Linked DNA regions of Tamandua tetradactyla. The protein of the gene in region 2 interacts with the protein of the main gene of each other region in a biochemical or structural test. Links are inferred from orthologs where the notes say so. Each region holds a gene or a part of one and is shown on either strand. Other genes may lie near its edges.

Region 1 (7,952 bases), on a different chromosome or scaffold from region 2:
GGTGGTGCGACTCCCGTGATGCCTCGCGCGGGCTCGATCCGGCGAGCGGGCTCCCTAGAGCTCTGTGCTCGGGCTAGAGTTGATGGTGGAGTTCGGCTCCACCTACTCGCCAGGAGCCTCAAAGCTGGTCACGTCACTTGCCCCCAGTCACCCGGTGGGTGGCAAGAGACGCCGGGTTGACTCTAAGACTTGATTTTTCTCTCTCCATCTTCTCAGAGAGACGAGGATGATTTCCACCGGCCTCTGGACAAAGACCTGGTGTCCTGCACCGCCCGGTTCCCTCCCTGATTTTCCGCTTAAATCTCGTACCCCGCGAGCCCTTCGTGCTTGATTGCTGAACTGCAAGTGGTCATGCTGCAATTGAAAGAACCAAGTCTTGGGTGTACGGGTGGTTCAGTGGTAGAATGCTCGCCTTCCATGCGGGAGACCCGGGTTTGATTCCTGGACCATGCACCTGGGGAAAAAAAAAAACGAACTAAGTCTTTGCGAAAGCTGATGCCCCAGAAGGCCTAAGGTAGAGAGGTCAGGGGTGTGTGACTGCACGTGGTATTAAAGCCCAATCGCCAAAGTTCTTACACTTAACAATTGCAATAGAGTACACAGCCAAAGCTGGCATGAGCCTGGACAACCCCAGGCAAGGTTGATCATCCATCCTTTGGTCACTGACCCTAAAGGACATGAAAATTGAACAAATCCGTTACCCACCAAAACTTCCTTCCTTCCTTGACAACCATTGTCACTTTAGATTGGTTTATTACTATAGATTATTTTGCAATTTCTAGAATTTTAAATAAATGAAGTCATACACTATATACTCTTTTTGTCTGACTCCTTTCACTTAGCATAATTTGAGATTTGCCAAGTAATACTACATCGTGTGGATACACTACAATTTATTTATCCAACGACCTGTCGATGGACATGTGGGTTATTTCCAGTTTGAAACTATTACAAATAAAGCTATGTTCAAGTCTTTGTATGGACATAAGCCTTCATTTCTCTTATATAATCCTAGGAGTGGAATGGCAGGGTCATATGGTAGATATAGGTTTAAGTCTTTAAGAAACTGCTATATTGTTTTCCAAAGTGGTCTTTAACAAACCACTAAAGTGTTTTTCAAAGTGGTTGTACAATTTTATACTCCCACCCAAAATATTCAAGAAGTATAATTACTCCCCATCTTCACCAACATTTAACATTACTCTTTTTAATTTTAGCTATTCTAACAGGTTTATAAATCCCAGTTGGTATTAATTTTCATCCTGACAACTAATGATGTTAAGTATCTTTTTATGTGTGTTTTGCACCTAGATATATTTTGAAGATAAGGGTTTGAGGCCAATAGTATTTACTGATAGATCAGATGAAAGCGATGTGAGAGAAGAGTCAAGAATGACTTCATTTTCTTGCCAATCCCTGAGTATTTCCTAATCCTTCCTGCTATGCACTGGCTGCTCCCTCTGCATGAAGTACTATTCCCCACAATGGCTACCTTGCAAATTCCTTAAGTCACTCAGTTTCGAAAAGCCTTCAAATCTGCTCTTGGTTAGGCACCCACAGTTCTTGTAGTTGATCTTCACCCTTAAATGGCTAATTTTCTCTTTACTCCTTGTCTCCCCTATCAGCTGGTGAGTTTCTGGAGAGTATGCATGGTTTGGATTATCTCATTATGATAGCCTAGCCTCAATTATTTCAGCATATTTTCACAAACAGTACTTTCCAAATAAACATTTCAAATTGTGGGTGCTTTGCTGCAAGCTGGGTAATCATGACAACTTAACATCTTTGTGCCCAAGTTTCTTTATCTTTAAAATAGGGAACCACATAGTCCCTGCTTCACATTGAGGTGAGCGTTAAATGCAAGATGACTGTAGAACATGTGCCACACGTTTTCTTCCCCAGTAATATCTGGCACATGTTTTCTTCCCCAGTAATATCAAGCTATTATTTTCTGAACTGAATACTTTGCTGTTCCTTTTCTGGAACTCAAACAATATAACTAATTTGCAAATAGTGTTTTACTGAAAAACAGTCCTTTGTTTCAAAGTCTCTCTCAATGTTCTATACCACACAAGATAAAGTTCAAACTAGCATTCCAGGTCCTTTCAGTTCTGGTCCCTGCCTTCCTAACTCTCCACCTGAAATGTTAGTTTGTAACATTAAATTCACTCAAATTAAAAAAATGTGTGAAACTCCTTCCATGACTACCTGCCAAGAGTCAAGCAATAGGGTAAAGGTCTGAAGCTAAAAATATGATTGTGGAATTGCCCTCTGCACTGGAGAGAACCACAAAACTGGGGGTAGAGTAAGTGTAGTTAGGAGGACACATATGACAAGGAGGGTGCTCAGTAGGTAGAGAGGGAAAGACTCCAGGCAGAAGGGCCATGGGATGCTACTCATCATTTTTTATGTCCAGCCTGGTGCGAGGCCCTGAGCATTTAATAAATAGATTTGATCCTTGACTTCCCAATGCAGGAGCAAGGCTTGGGTCTGGGACCTGGGGTGGAGCAGACTTGTCTTCCAGGGGCAGACTGTAGAATGACCAAATGGCTGATGCCTCCCTGCCTGAGAAGGGCATGGTCAGGAAGTCTGCCAGCAAAGTACAGTTTGTGTGTTATTAATTCTGGGCCCAGGGACCATTCCCTGGTGAAGCTACATCCAGGATGCAGGGAGTTCTTTCTTGGGGTGGGGAGGAGGTGCCTGTTGGTATGATAACTAGAGACAATATACTGGTGGAGATTACCAGATTTCAGCTGGCACTAGGATGATCTCCTTGCTGCCTGAACACCTGTACCGACTCCAGGCCCCTCCCACTCCAGTGACTGGTCAAGGGGCCTCAGTTCTAGGTTCCAGGTGGACTTCAGTTGCTTCCTGCCTCTTGCTTTGGGCAAATATCCTGAATCTACTGCCAGGTCTTGTCCATCCCTGTCCACATAAGAGTGTGTGGTGTGTGCAAAGGGCTCCCTGGACCTCAAAAGAAAAAGTGAGGGTAGCAGAAATGTTACAATAATAAAAGCTAATAGTAATAGGGTACTTATTATGTGCCAGGGACTGTCCTCAGTGCTTTGCACATACTAATTTATTCAATCTTACAACCACCCTACAGAGGATACCAGTGAAGTGATTACGAGCATAGACTCTAGAGCTAGACAGTGCAGTTTCGAATCCCTACTCTGCGATTCACTAGCTGTGTGACCTTGGGGAAGCCTGTGATTCAGTTCCTCCATCTGCCCAAAGGGGATAAAACTAATGACTACCCCATAGGGTTATTATAGAGATTAAATGAATAAATGTTTATAAAGCACACAGAACAGTGGCTGGTACAGAGTAATAGCTATTGAAGTTTTTAATAAATGCCTTTTTTGTGTGTATGCTATATGGCGGGGTCATATGTCATTATTTTTCCATGTATACTGTCATTGCAGCACCACTTGTTGAATTTGTTTATTTGTTTTATGGGAAGTGCATGGACCAGGAACCAAACCCGGGTCTCCCGCATGGCAAGCAAAAATTCTACCACTGAACTACCCCTGCACCCCCCAGTAAATCCCATTTTTGTAGATGAGGGAACTGAGGTACAGAAGAGTGATTTTCCACTAGTAAGTGGTGGAGCTGGGATCCAAACTCCAAGCAGTCTGGTTGAGAGCCGGAACTCTTAAATTATGCTCCAGCAGTGAAGAGGGGGTGTCCACATGAATTACTTTATGAGAAAAGTAATTACATTGAGGTGGGAGGAGCTCTGAATGAAGTGATGTGGAAGGTTCTAGCACTTACCATGTCAGTCTTCCTCATGCTGTGGTAAGTGTGCCGCTGCTGGCCAGACTGGCCAAGGTGGCCAGCAGTTTCTGAAAGAGGGATCCATAGCACAAGCAGGGTCTCCCAAGCTCCTGCCCCATAGTTCATTCACTTTGGCCCCAGCACTACCAGGGAGTCCTGGGTGCAACTCATGGCAAATCCTCTCTATACTTCTAGGAGTTTAAGTAGGTAAAAAATTAGAGTCAGCTCGATAGACGTTTACATGGGGCCTTGGCCAAGGTTTGAGCCTGGGGATAGCGAGGGGGCTCCAGAGGCCTTTAACCCCAGATGTTCACAGTTCAAAGGGGGAATCACGCAAGTGAACAAGCAGATTGCGGGCAATGGGCAGCAAAGATAAATAAGAACTGGCCAAGTTGGAGGGGTGGAAAGTGTCTCTGGTCCAAGCAATGGCAAGAAGGCTAGGAATTTTCCTTTGGCCCCGGGCGGGAGGGGAGGGCGGTGATCGCGCAGAATCCTGTAAGACTGAATAGGGAGTAAGGAATTTACCCGGAGGAAGAGAAGCGAGGGCTTCAAGTTCTCGGAGACGGAAGGTCAAGTTTGCATTTTAAAAGGGTCGGTTGGGCTACGAGGAGACTTCGAGGCTGGAGAGGAAACGGAGACGAAGGAGCAGCCCTGGTCCAGGTAGGGGCTTGTGGGGACCCAGGAGCGCCACTCGGACTACTGGGGCTTTTGCACAGACAGTGTGCCCGACGTGACTATCCGTCGTGGAGCCTCCCTCGCGCTCGGCCTGAGCCAGGCATCAGTCACACGGCAGCCCGCGGCGAATGGCAAGTTCCAAGACGCCTGCCACTCTCACGCTTTCCCGGGGCCCGGGGGCTCTGAAGTTCTCGGGTTCCGGGCCCGTGTGGCCCCGCCCCGCCCGCAGGCCCCGCCCCCCACGCACGTCCTCCCGCCCGCGCGTCAGGCCCCGGAGGCGCCGTCGCGCTTGGCGCGAGATAGGAAAGTGCTTCTGTGCGCGCCGGCGGCTCGGCTGCCCCCGCAAGCGGGCGGCGGGACCTGCGGACAAGCTGACGGCGCCCAGCCCGGCCCGGGGGCCCCGAGCGGCCGGAGCAGCCCGCGTCCTGGCCCCGGCCTCGGCCCGGCTCCCGCTCCGGCTCCTGGCTCAGCCGGCGGGCGGGCGGGCGCAGCGCGGCCCGGGCCGGGGGGATGTCTCGGCGGACGCGCGGGTGAGCAGGGCAGGGCGGGCTGAGGGTCCCCTGCCCTTCCCCTCCCCCCACCTTCCCCACCTTCACCCATGCCTTCGCCGTGATCCCTCTGTGGGGGTTTCCGCGGGAAATGCTGCCGCCTGGGCGGTCAGAGGCACGGGCGCGCGCGAAACCGGGGGGCTCTCGGGAGCCCCTCGCTCCGCTCTTCGGGCCTCCTCAGTCTCCGAGCCGTGGCGGGCGGGTCTCCTGGGACCCGGGCCAGGCCCTGCATGATGTCATTTTGTCTCCCGCCTAATTACGGCGTGGGGGTGGGACGGCCGGTGTCAGCTGGAAAGGCTTTTACATGGGAAGGAAGCGATCCCTGGAGAGGGAAAGTGACCCTTCGAGTCACAGTAAAGTGGGAGGTTAAAACCTGGAAGACATCCTTCAGACCTCAGTTACGTGCACATTTGCGGGTGGGCATTTCAACCCAGCATCCCGGGAAGCATAGCACCCCAAACCCTCTGCCGCGGCCCGAGGAGGGTGCTGGCCGGGGGCTCTTTTGTCTCCTCCATCTGGGCTCCGGGCCCGGACAGGTTTAGCTGCAGAAACCCCTCTTCCTGTTCTACTCGGGGAGTTTTGGCATCTAGGTTTGCAGGTGAGGGGAAGAGAGCCAGATGTGTATGGAGTCCGCTGGGAGCCAGCAGCCCCTGGGGTAAAGGCAGGAACTGCGGTCTCTTACTTATTCACTCGGAGGATAATTGGCAGAGTCGAGCTTGGAGCCGGGTCCATGGGCCCCAGTTCCCTTTGTCACACTTGTGTGCCTGGGGCCTGAGCTCTGGGCTTTTTGGCCAATCTGGGAGTCAGGGGACAGTGGTATTCCACCCCGTTCCCTCCCTGGAATCGTTTGGCCCAGACAAACCTTAGACCCACTGCAGATGGTGGTGTTCACCTTCTGGGTGGAGGTTACAGACCTTGACTCATAGCTGGCTTTCCCTGCAGTGCCTCTTAGCAGGGAAGTCCCATCCCTGGGCAGTGGCAAGGTCCCTGACACAGGGACTGTCTTCCTCAGGCCACAGTATCCTAGGGCCCGTCCAATTGCCAGGAGTAGTTTTCTGGTCCCTGGAAGTACTGGGGCACTTGTCAGACCCTGTCTGATTTTTGGTTCAGGAAGTATTGCTCCAGGAAGTGACTATCCCCACTCCATCCCCAGTTTCTCCGCAGTTGCATCTCCCCTGAAGCTTAGTGGAGTAACCTCCCCCCACCTCCTGTGTGGGGGATGGGTCCCCATCCTAGTACCCCCACAACCCTTAGCTGGTTTCCTGGCCATTTACTGTAATTATCCACCCCAGTGCCCTTGTTCCTCCTTAGGCTCTGACTCACCCTGGCCCTGGAACAGAGCCAAGCACAAACAACAAAGCAAAAGAAAGGATATGTGGGACTGAAATGGCAAGTGGCTTAACACTATGCGCCTCCACTTCTACATCTGTTAAATGGGAGTAATGGTAGCGCATATGAAGGGGACAGCCAGCACCATGTCCTGTGAGTATATTATCTCACAGGACTCCCTCAGCTGTCTGAGATGCTGTCCCATTAACAGAGCCCTGAGGCACCAGTTCCAGGCAGACACACCTTTAACCCTTTAGGGAACATTTGTTGAGCTCCCGCTAGAAGCTACACCCCATGCTGTGTTGCTGGAGAAGCAGAGGCGATTTCTTTCAACAAGTAGTTTGGGGCAGCTTAAGCCAGTTTCGTTTTGCTTTTAATATTTTGTAAATTTTCTGCCTGCTACTTTGCAGTGATGGAAGGACCCTGTACAGTGGGGTGCAAATGACGGGATGAAGCTGATTAGTTAAACAAGCTTGCTTCCTCTCCTGTTTGTAAAAATTTTGCTTGAACATTTCTTGTCAGCTAATAGGCAGCAGTTCCACATGTTTTTTCATTTTTTGTGTATCCGGCCATTCCCTGAGCAAACACTCATTAAGGCCCTCCATTGCCAACCCACATCTGGTCCTCTGTGGATGTAGAGATGTTGCTGACCCAAGATAATCGTAGAGGAGACAGACAGCTGCAGCCTAAGAGCCTACATTCTGAGACAGTTTTTCCGTTGTGCTGTAGAGCGACTCTAGGAAGTGATGCCAGGTTCTAGCGAAGAAGGGGAAAAGAACATGGACATGAAAGGAAGCCTTCTTCCTTCCTCTGGGCACAAGTCCTGCGATCGCCTTGGTCATTTGGAGATGTCTAGGCTTTTCTCAGTTTACGAATTCCTGACTTAAGAGTACACGTTATGAAGGCGACCTGGTGTAGGGCCCTGATGCATGGCGTTGGAAGGTTACTAACCTTCCGTGGGCACCTGACATCCCTGGAGGTGAGCAGTGTGAACCCCATTTTCCCAGCCATTAAAATTATGAGGCTTTTGGAGCAACTTGGAAAATTGCCTGTTCTAGAATAAAATAATCCATAATTCTCTGACTCTGCCTGTGTGTAGGCAAAGATTGAAAAGGAATATGCAGAAATGGAAATACTTACTGAGATAATGATTTAATTTTTTTCCCCAGAAAGTTAGTACTTTCTTAAAATCCTGTTATAATCCGTGCATAATGATTACATTTATCATCAGCATTAATCCCTACTCTATCCATACAGGTTGCGGGTATTCTGCAAGTTAAAAAAAATTGTTAAATCCAGAAGAAAAACATGAAATGGGAGTCTGGTTTTGAGTGTCAATGATAACATTCTGGGTGAAACCTTAACCTTTTTTGGGGGGGTGTACCTTTTGAAACATTAAAACTTTTGTTAAAAGAAAGAGGATGAAGGAAAAAAACCACCCATAACCACATTTAATTAAAATTAAAAAGAAGAGTAGGGTGGAAGTGCCTGATTTTTTCAAAAGTATAGAAGTGTAAAGCCTTCCTCCCCCAGACCTTGCCCTGGAGCTGACAGGCCGCCGCCAGCACTCAGTGCCTGTCGGTCAGGTAGCATTAAGTGAGAGTACGTGCCCTTGACCTTGGA
Region 2 (7,318 bases):
AGGTGTCTATGTGTTACTGGAATAAAAATTTAAAACAGCAAAATAGTACTATACAACACAAACTGTGAACCATAATGTAAACCATATATAATTATAGTATAATTATAAAGACGTTCTTTCATTTATTTGTGACAAATTGCCAACAGAATAGTTAAAACTGATTAATTGCAATTAAGGAGTTATTTATATCACAAATAAATGTTTAAAATTAAAAAAAAGCAAAAGAATTAAAGTGATTTGTTTGTGGGTTAAAAAAAAATCAGAACCTTTCTTCATCAAATTCAGAGACTAGAGATCATTGTGTAAGTAGATTGTAGTTTTCTGAAAACCAGAGTCATTCTTTAGCATAGCACCTGGGCCTGTTTTGGCAATATATAAAATGGGCAAATGGGCACACTGGCTTCTCTCATCATGTGATTGAATATACCAAATGCCTGGCTTGGTGCCAGACTTCTTTGGGCTTTCAGGGATCACTTACACCCAAGAAAATCATGCTTTTGCTAGAGTGGATGCAAGAAAGAGCCACTGGTTTGGTTCTGCAAAGGAGGACCAAGACTTAAGTAAAGCATTGTAAAGAGTCTTTGCTCTCTATCCAAAATGGACTAATGTTTTCTTTTGTTTTGGTGATACAACAAATAATTTAAATGTGGTGATTTTTTTCACATTTTGATTTGTCATATATTTGACTTAATAGGGCTAAATCCAACTCACGCCTCTGTTTTCATAGTAAGTGATCTCATTTATTGCTGTGAGAAATGGAGCAATGTACAAATAAAATAATAGACTCTGATTTTTTTAAAAAATCACATTCACTCAAGTTTCTCCAAAGCTTTGAGCAGTACATTTTAGTTATTTCCGTCCACTGGTCAGATACCACAAAAGGCAGATGACAAAGAATTGATAGATGGGCTTCTAATTATCCTCCACTGTATATATAAAATGCATATATGTATTTGGGTGGGTGGGGGGTCTTGGTCTTTCTCAAGCCTTTCAAAATTTCTCAACTCTAAAATGGAAGCTGCCTGGGAAGCTCCTGGCTTCTGTCTCAGATGTGCAACACAGGTTTTTAAGGCACCACTATGAAAGGGCCTGTCTGATAACAGACTTGGGGAAGCATTTCCCTGTTCCAGGATTCATTCTTAGGTGTCCTGTAAGGGTCTGAACTGAAATCAGTTAAGGATGAACTTATAGTCAGATCAGCCAGGCCTGCTACCAGCACACTGCTTGGTAGCCCAGTGCTCTGGCCAGAGCATGGAGGCAGCTGCTCTCAAAGCACAGACTTCGTTGTGAATCCAGTCGGCAGAACCGATCTGTCTCCAACCCTGTCTAAGGTGAACAAGCCAAGGTTGTGCAGGGCTGCGCCCCCCCACCCCGTCCCGCCCTTCCCCTTCCCCAGCAGGCTTGAAAGAACCCAGATCCATGGTTTTGTCAATACACATTTTTTTTTAGCTTAGAACTGGAATTAGTCACATATACTTAAAACAAATGATCCTTAGATTCAGTTAAATTTGGAAAAATAACAAAGGAGGTTGTTCACTATTTCTAGCTGGCAATGGGGCCCGACGAGGCCACCCTTGAAACTGGGTTTCCCACTAGCCCCATGACTCAGGGTTGGAAACCCTCCAGGGCAGTCCTCGGGGCTCCACGGGGCTCCAGGGCTGCTCTCACCTGGCCCCAGGTCCTGTACTGCCCGTTCTCAGTGAGCACCCCCAGCACGGTCCTCTGGGGGGCGTCCTGACCGAGCTGGGCCCTGGTGACCATCTGACAGGCGTCGGGGCCAAGGGTTGCTGGAGCCAGGATGATACGGCTCCTGGAGCTGTTCTGATGCCTGCCCTCCATCACCACTGGTGGCTGCCAGGAGAGAGGAGGGGCGACCGAGTTAGCCAACCGCCCCCACCCGGCTCCAAGGGCGCAGCGGATCGCCAGGAGGCAGAGCATCGAGGCTAGGCTCCCCTAGCAGCTGGAAGGGCTGGAAGGACGCGAGCAGCAGCACCAGGCATCAGAGCCCTGGAAACCTCCAATTGCTGGAGGCAGGACCACTGAGCAATTCCCAGGTAACCTGGGGTCAAAACCAACAAGCCTCTCCCTGCCCTAAGCTCATGCCCCCTGATTCCCAACCAAAGGCCCAGGAAACAGCACTGCGGGAATGGGTGTCCCCTACACAGGTGCCACGCAGGTGCTGCTCCGCAGCCCTCCTCCCACCGGACTGAGGCCCCCAAACCTGCTTGGAGGCCCCGACAGCCCCGCTCGCCTCGGCGTTAGATGGAGGTGTGTTAGATGGAGGTGTTAGGTGGAGGTGTGTGTCTGGAACAATCAGCAAGCGCCCACCAGGAGCAGGGCGGCAGGGGCGCCCGAGGGGGCGGGGCGTGGGCGGGGCTTGGGTTCCGGCGGGGCGCCGACTCCCGCAGCGACCCGGGCGCTGAGCGGGCCTGCCTGTCCCCCCACCCGCTCCGCTCGGGCCCCAATTGGCGGCGTCGCTGGGACTCGCGTGGCCGCTCCCATGCCAACCGCAGCGGGCGCACGCGGGGCCCGCGTCTCCATCGCGACCCCTTCACCCGACGCGCCCGGGGCTGCCACCTCGCCGGGGTCAACGGGCACGCCCAGCTCCTGCTGCTCGGCCGGGCTGTCCCGGGCGGGCCACGGCACCCGGCACCCGCTGCGCGTCTCGCCGGCGCGTCCGGCCCGGGCGGGAGGCAGGATCCGGCCCGCGATGGCCAGGCCCGCGGTGGCCCCGGGACCGGTTCCCCCAACAGCCGCGAACTCCTCCCGCCAACGTCTCTCCGCGGCCAGCTCCTGCGAACTCTGGCTCGGGAGAGCGACGCGGCCCCACCGACCGCTCCGGCCCGAGGGCGCCGCTCGCTCCCCAACGCTGGCCACGCACCTAGGCGTCCTCGCAGACCGCAGCCGGGGGTGGCGGGCAGACCCCGGGGTGGAACCGCGGCGCTCTGTTCATGGTGGCGGCCCGCCTTCGGTCACTCCCCGGCCTGCGCGCTCCCGGGGCCACGCCTGGCCCGCCTGGGGCCCGGGACATGGTGCGCGGCGGGCCACGGAAGGGATCTGGAGTTTCGGGGCACACGGGGTGCCCGCGGCCCCCACGGGAGGCCTTCCCGGACCGCTGCCGTCGCCATGGCGCGAAGGGTCCGGGAGCGCAAAGAGAGTGGCCCAGGAAGAGGAAGGAACGCGGGTGGCAGCGATGAGGCTGGGGACGTTGGGGAGATGGGGAAGTGGGGAGGGGGAGACACTGGCGAGGCCCGGAAGTGGGAGGTGGGCTGGCCACGTGGGGAGGGCCCTTGAATTGGAAGGCCCACCGTACAGGTGAAGGAATCCAAAACTTTCCTAGATGGATGAAAGATTGAAGACATATACATACAACCCATAGGTGTGAATCTGTGGGTGCACATCCCTGCAGGTACAAAATTGTCACTGCTGTGTTCAGCCGGGAGTGGTTTATTTTTATTTAATATTTTTATTGAGAAATCCTCACACCATACAGTCCATTCAAAGTATACAATCAATGGTTCACAGTATCATCACATAGTTGTGTATTCATCACCAAGTTTTATGGATTTTTAAAAATTTTATCCTATTACCGTATATTCAATATAACATTTCCCTTTTAACCACTTTCAGAATAAGCTTTCTTATACAAATTGTTGTAATATGTCTAAGTCAATTCATTATGCTGTTAAAATGCATGCACATTAGTTTTATATTGTATATGATATTAGTTCTTATATTGTACATTCACACAAAAAATATTGAGACTAGATAACATTTCACCACATGATAGGATCAACTAAAAAGAAATTATTGACTTAATTCTAAGTTTCAAAAGTTATATGGATGACAAATACTGTCAGGTTATTTAAATTTTGCAATACATTATGCAAACTATAAGTGTGCTTATGTATGATATACACTCAATCATATTAACAAATAACTGAACTAAAGTTTAATTACTGAGAACACTCTTTAAAGATGAATAGTAATTAGCACCTGTAAGAGTCATGCTTCTTTCAGGTATTTTACAATGGTCTATCACAGAAAATAAAGCTTCAGGAAATCTTCACATGTGCAAATCACAAAGAATGCAGTTGAAGTGATCATTTTTAATAGCTTCATAAACTCTGATTCCATGCTGTTGGGTTCCATCTGCACTCAGAATAGGAGCAGACGGAAGAGAAATATCACCACTTAAAATCTGAGTTGTGTCCAGTAGTTGTGGATGTTCTGCCATTATCAATAAGGCATTAATATACCGGATAACCCTCCAACTAACACCCGGCGTGCTTCCCAGGCCGTGTCAAAAATTCAAAGACGCAGGTACTGGCACCAGGCGAAAAGGAGTCAACGCAGAAGGGCGTTTTTTCCCAGGTTTTAACCCCAGGAGGGGCGGGGGAAACTGTCTTCAAAAGAACATTCAAGTTCGGTGGCGGCCGGCCGCCTCTCTGTCGCCACCTCAGAGTGGTTTATTCTTAAAATCAGAAGCTCCTATCCCTGATTCTCTGAAGTAGATAACTGCGACAAACAAGGGTTTGTTTCTGTCTTATTTGGAATGCACGTCCTGGTCCTTCTTAGCATTCCAAATGTCCAAGTGTTCTTTATTAAGTTTTCATCCCGCGAACTGGGTGTGCATTGTTTTGGGGAAAATATAGGTATTCCCATAGGGCGTGGGTGGCAGCCGCTGGGGGGCGGGGGTCAGATGAGAGGACGCCGGAGCGCGCTTGGGCTTGGGTGCTGCGTGCGCAAGGAGCGCAGACATCCATTCTGTGCGGTAAGAATCCAACTTCTGCACGTCGGTCACGGGTTGCAGTCGCGGGGAATCAGTGATCCCCTCGCACCCCAAATTCCCGTGCCTTTGGGTGAGAAGGCAGCCCAGAGATGTGGAAACAGCTTGGTGTCCAGCGCCAAGAGACCTCGGTGTTGGCGCTTTGCCAGATGGCTCTCTGGGGTAAAAAAGGAGCTTTTCTGTCTGCTCCTTGCCTGGCCTTCACCCCACTTCCACCTGGCGGAGCCGTTGTGATTTCGGGGACGCTGGGGCCTCCGTGGTTACCTGGTCTGGGTCTCAGGAGCAAGTTGGTCCAAGTGGCTTTGGCAGAGATCAGGTCACACGCCCTGACCCCTGTGACTTGCCTTTCGATCCGGTTTCCTCCGGCAAACCTAACCAAACCCTCCCACCCTTTGCTTTTCCTCTGAAACAGAGAAGCCAGTGCAAAGTTTGTGCTTGAAGCTTGCCATGTTGAATCTTTTTCCTGGGATTAAAGCTCGAGATGGGAAAGGGGTAGTGACAGGAAAGTTCCTGTTGGGACAGCCCCTTAAAGTTGGGTGTTTCCACTCAAATCGTGATCAGAAGTGTCCTCCTCTATATGCTAGCTTCAGTTGGAAAGATAGCCTTTAAAACGTAACTGTCAACCAGCTGGAACCTTTTTCATACCTTTTTCCTTGTATATCATCATCTCGGACCAATAGCTGAAGCCCAATACATCTTTTTTTTTTAATTTTTATTTTATTTTTTTAATACCAAAAAACACATAACAAACGCAAACATTCCAATTTTGATCATTCCGTTCTACATACATAATCAGTAATTCACAGTATCATCACATAGTTGCATATTCATCATCATGCCAATACATCTTTATATGCATGAAATAACTATTATTATTGTTAAAATAATAAAATAGAAAAAATAAAATTATTACTATTACTACCACATGTCAACATTATCTCTTCTCTCTCCACGCATATTGTGAAACTTGCCAAAGGGAAATGAGAAATGACTTATGATTGTTTTCTCTTTGTGCTGCTTTAGAATTCCATATTAAATCAGAGCTCTCCAGTCAGATCTTAAATTGGAGACTGATTTAGATAAACTGATACTTGTATATATTTATATATGTGTGTACATATAAATTCAAATGTTTCTGTAGCTTGTATAGCTTGTGTAAAAGTGTGACTTTCTTGACTTTAGCTGCATAAAAAAACTTCAAACCATTTTTTTGATACAAACTTAACTGATGAATATGTGCACAAGTTTTATATAAAATATCTAACTAAACTTAAAACTTGGCAATAGAATTAAGAAAAACAGGAGCAGAAAGGACTTTTTCACAAATTACATAGTTGCAATGAGATGCATAATTATAATTTTGCTATGCTGGGGAAAGCAGGATTGGAGTGCAAGGTTAATAGATTTTTAAATTTCTACAAGTTTTACATAAATTATGTATTGACTGTACACTATACTGGGAAGTGAATTGTACATTTAATTGTAAATGCAATTTTCTTTAATATCTAAAATATTTGGCTTAATGAAGTTATATATATAAAGCATCTTTTTAATTTCAATTAATTTGGGCAGCACTTCCTACTTGATATTCAGTGCTCAGCTAATTTTGACGCTAGTATTAATTTCCATACCAGAGGTGACAGCTGAATTCTTTCCTTGTTTTTTTAAAACCCAGTAGTCCTATTAAAATCAACTCCTCTTCCCCACCTAACCCCCAAATTACAATTCAAAGACAGTCTTTTCTGTTTGCCAGCAATTTACCTGGCATTTCAGAAGCAGTTATTACTTCGATCACATTTGCTCATTGTACCTAGTAATTAGCCTCCTGATCAAGCCTTTCGCTTTTCATTAATCAGCATGAAATCAAGTTGATTTTTGGCGTGGGGTTGAAAGAGATGAAAAAGTAGAAGAGCTGATTTTATTTCAGGGCAGAGGTACATTTAGGGGCATGTTTTGCATGTTCATGCCTTAGTCCATCTTAGGTGTACATGTAAAACGGAAGGACCAGTGGGGGTGGCGGGACATTCACAGCATCTTAGCCCATAACTCCAGAAGGCTATGTGGACCAAGCATGCCCCACTTACTAACGAGATGCAGCCACAAATTTACATAACGGTGAAGTAAGTTTCCATTTAGAACATGCCAAACAGTCATCTCTATAGAGTGAAAATAGTTTGAATGCATACATGAGATTAGCCAAAATCTAATATTCATTCATTTTACAAATAATGTTTGGTGCACCCATCATATGCCAGGCAGCAGCCGTGTATGAGGAGAACAATGAAGAAGGCTTTGTTCCAGCCAGGACACCCAGAGAGGTAACTAGATAATAACAGTGTAGCTAAATTAGTGTTTATTTCAACAGGGTGGGTGCAGGTGAATAGAAGGTAGCCACTGGAAGTCAGAGAAAAGAAGCAATGCATGTTGCTCTGGATATTTGGAAGCAGAACCCAGATCTGATAATGAAAAATAAATAAAAGTTAACAAACAGGGCAGGTGGTATAATCTACATACATTCTAGAAAGGGAA

Evidence for each region. The genes of interacting proteins can lie anywhere in the genome.
Region 1: the proteins of CCNA1 (region 2) and MYBL2 form a complex in vitro, tested with the Homo sapiens proteins (2 studies listed by BioGRID, with this or other methods). The link is inferred for Tamandua tetradactyla from reciprocal best matches to the Homo sapiens genes CCNA1 and MYBL2.

The regions. Positions count from the first base shown.
Region 1 is NC_135327.1:8,518,808-8,526,759, reverse strand, and holds the start of MYBL2 (myb-related protein B), read left to right. Parts: upstream 1-4,933; 5' UTR 4,934-4,962; coding exon 4,963-4,982; intron 4,983-7,952. UniProt on the Homo sapiens protein: Transcription factor involved in the regulation of cell survival, proliferation, and differentiation. Transactivates the expression of the CLU gene.
Region 2 is NC_135330.1:103,227,386-103,234,703, forward strand, and holds the start of CCNA1 (cyclin-A1), read right to left. Parts: upstream 3,002-7,318; 5' UTR 2,882-3,001; intron 2,389-2,881; exon of another isoform or gene 2,222-2,388; intron 1,852-2,221; 5' UTR 1,840-1,851; coding exon 1,669-1,839; intron 1-1,668. UniProt on the Homo sapiens protein: May be involved in the control of the cell cycle at the G1/S (start) and G2/M (mitosis) transitions. May primarily function in the control of the germline meiotic cell cycle and additionally in the control of mitotic cell cycle in some somatic cells.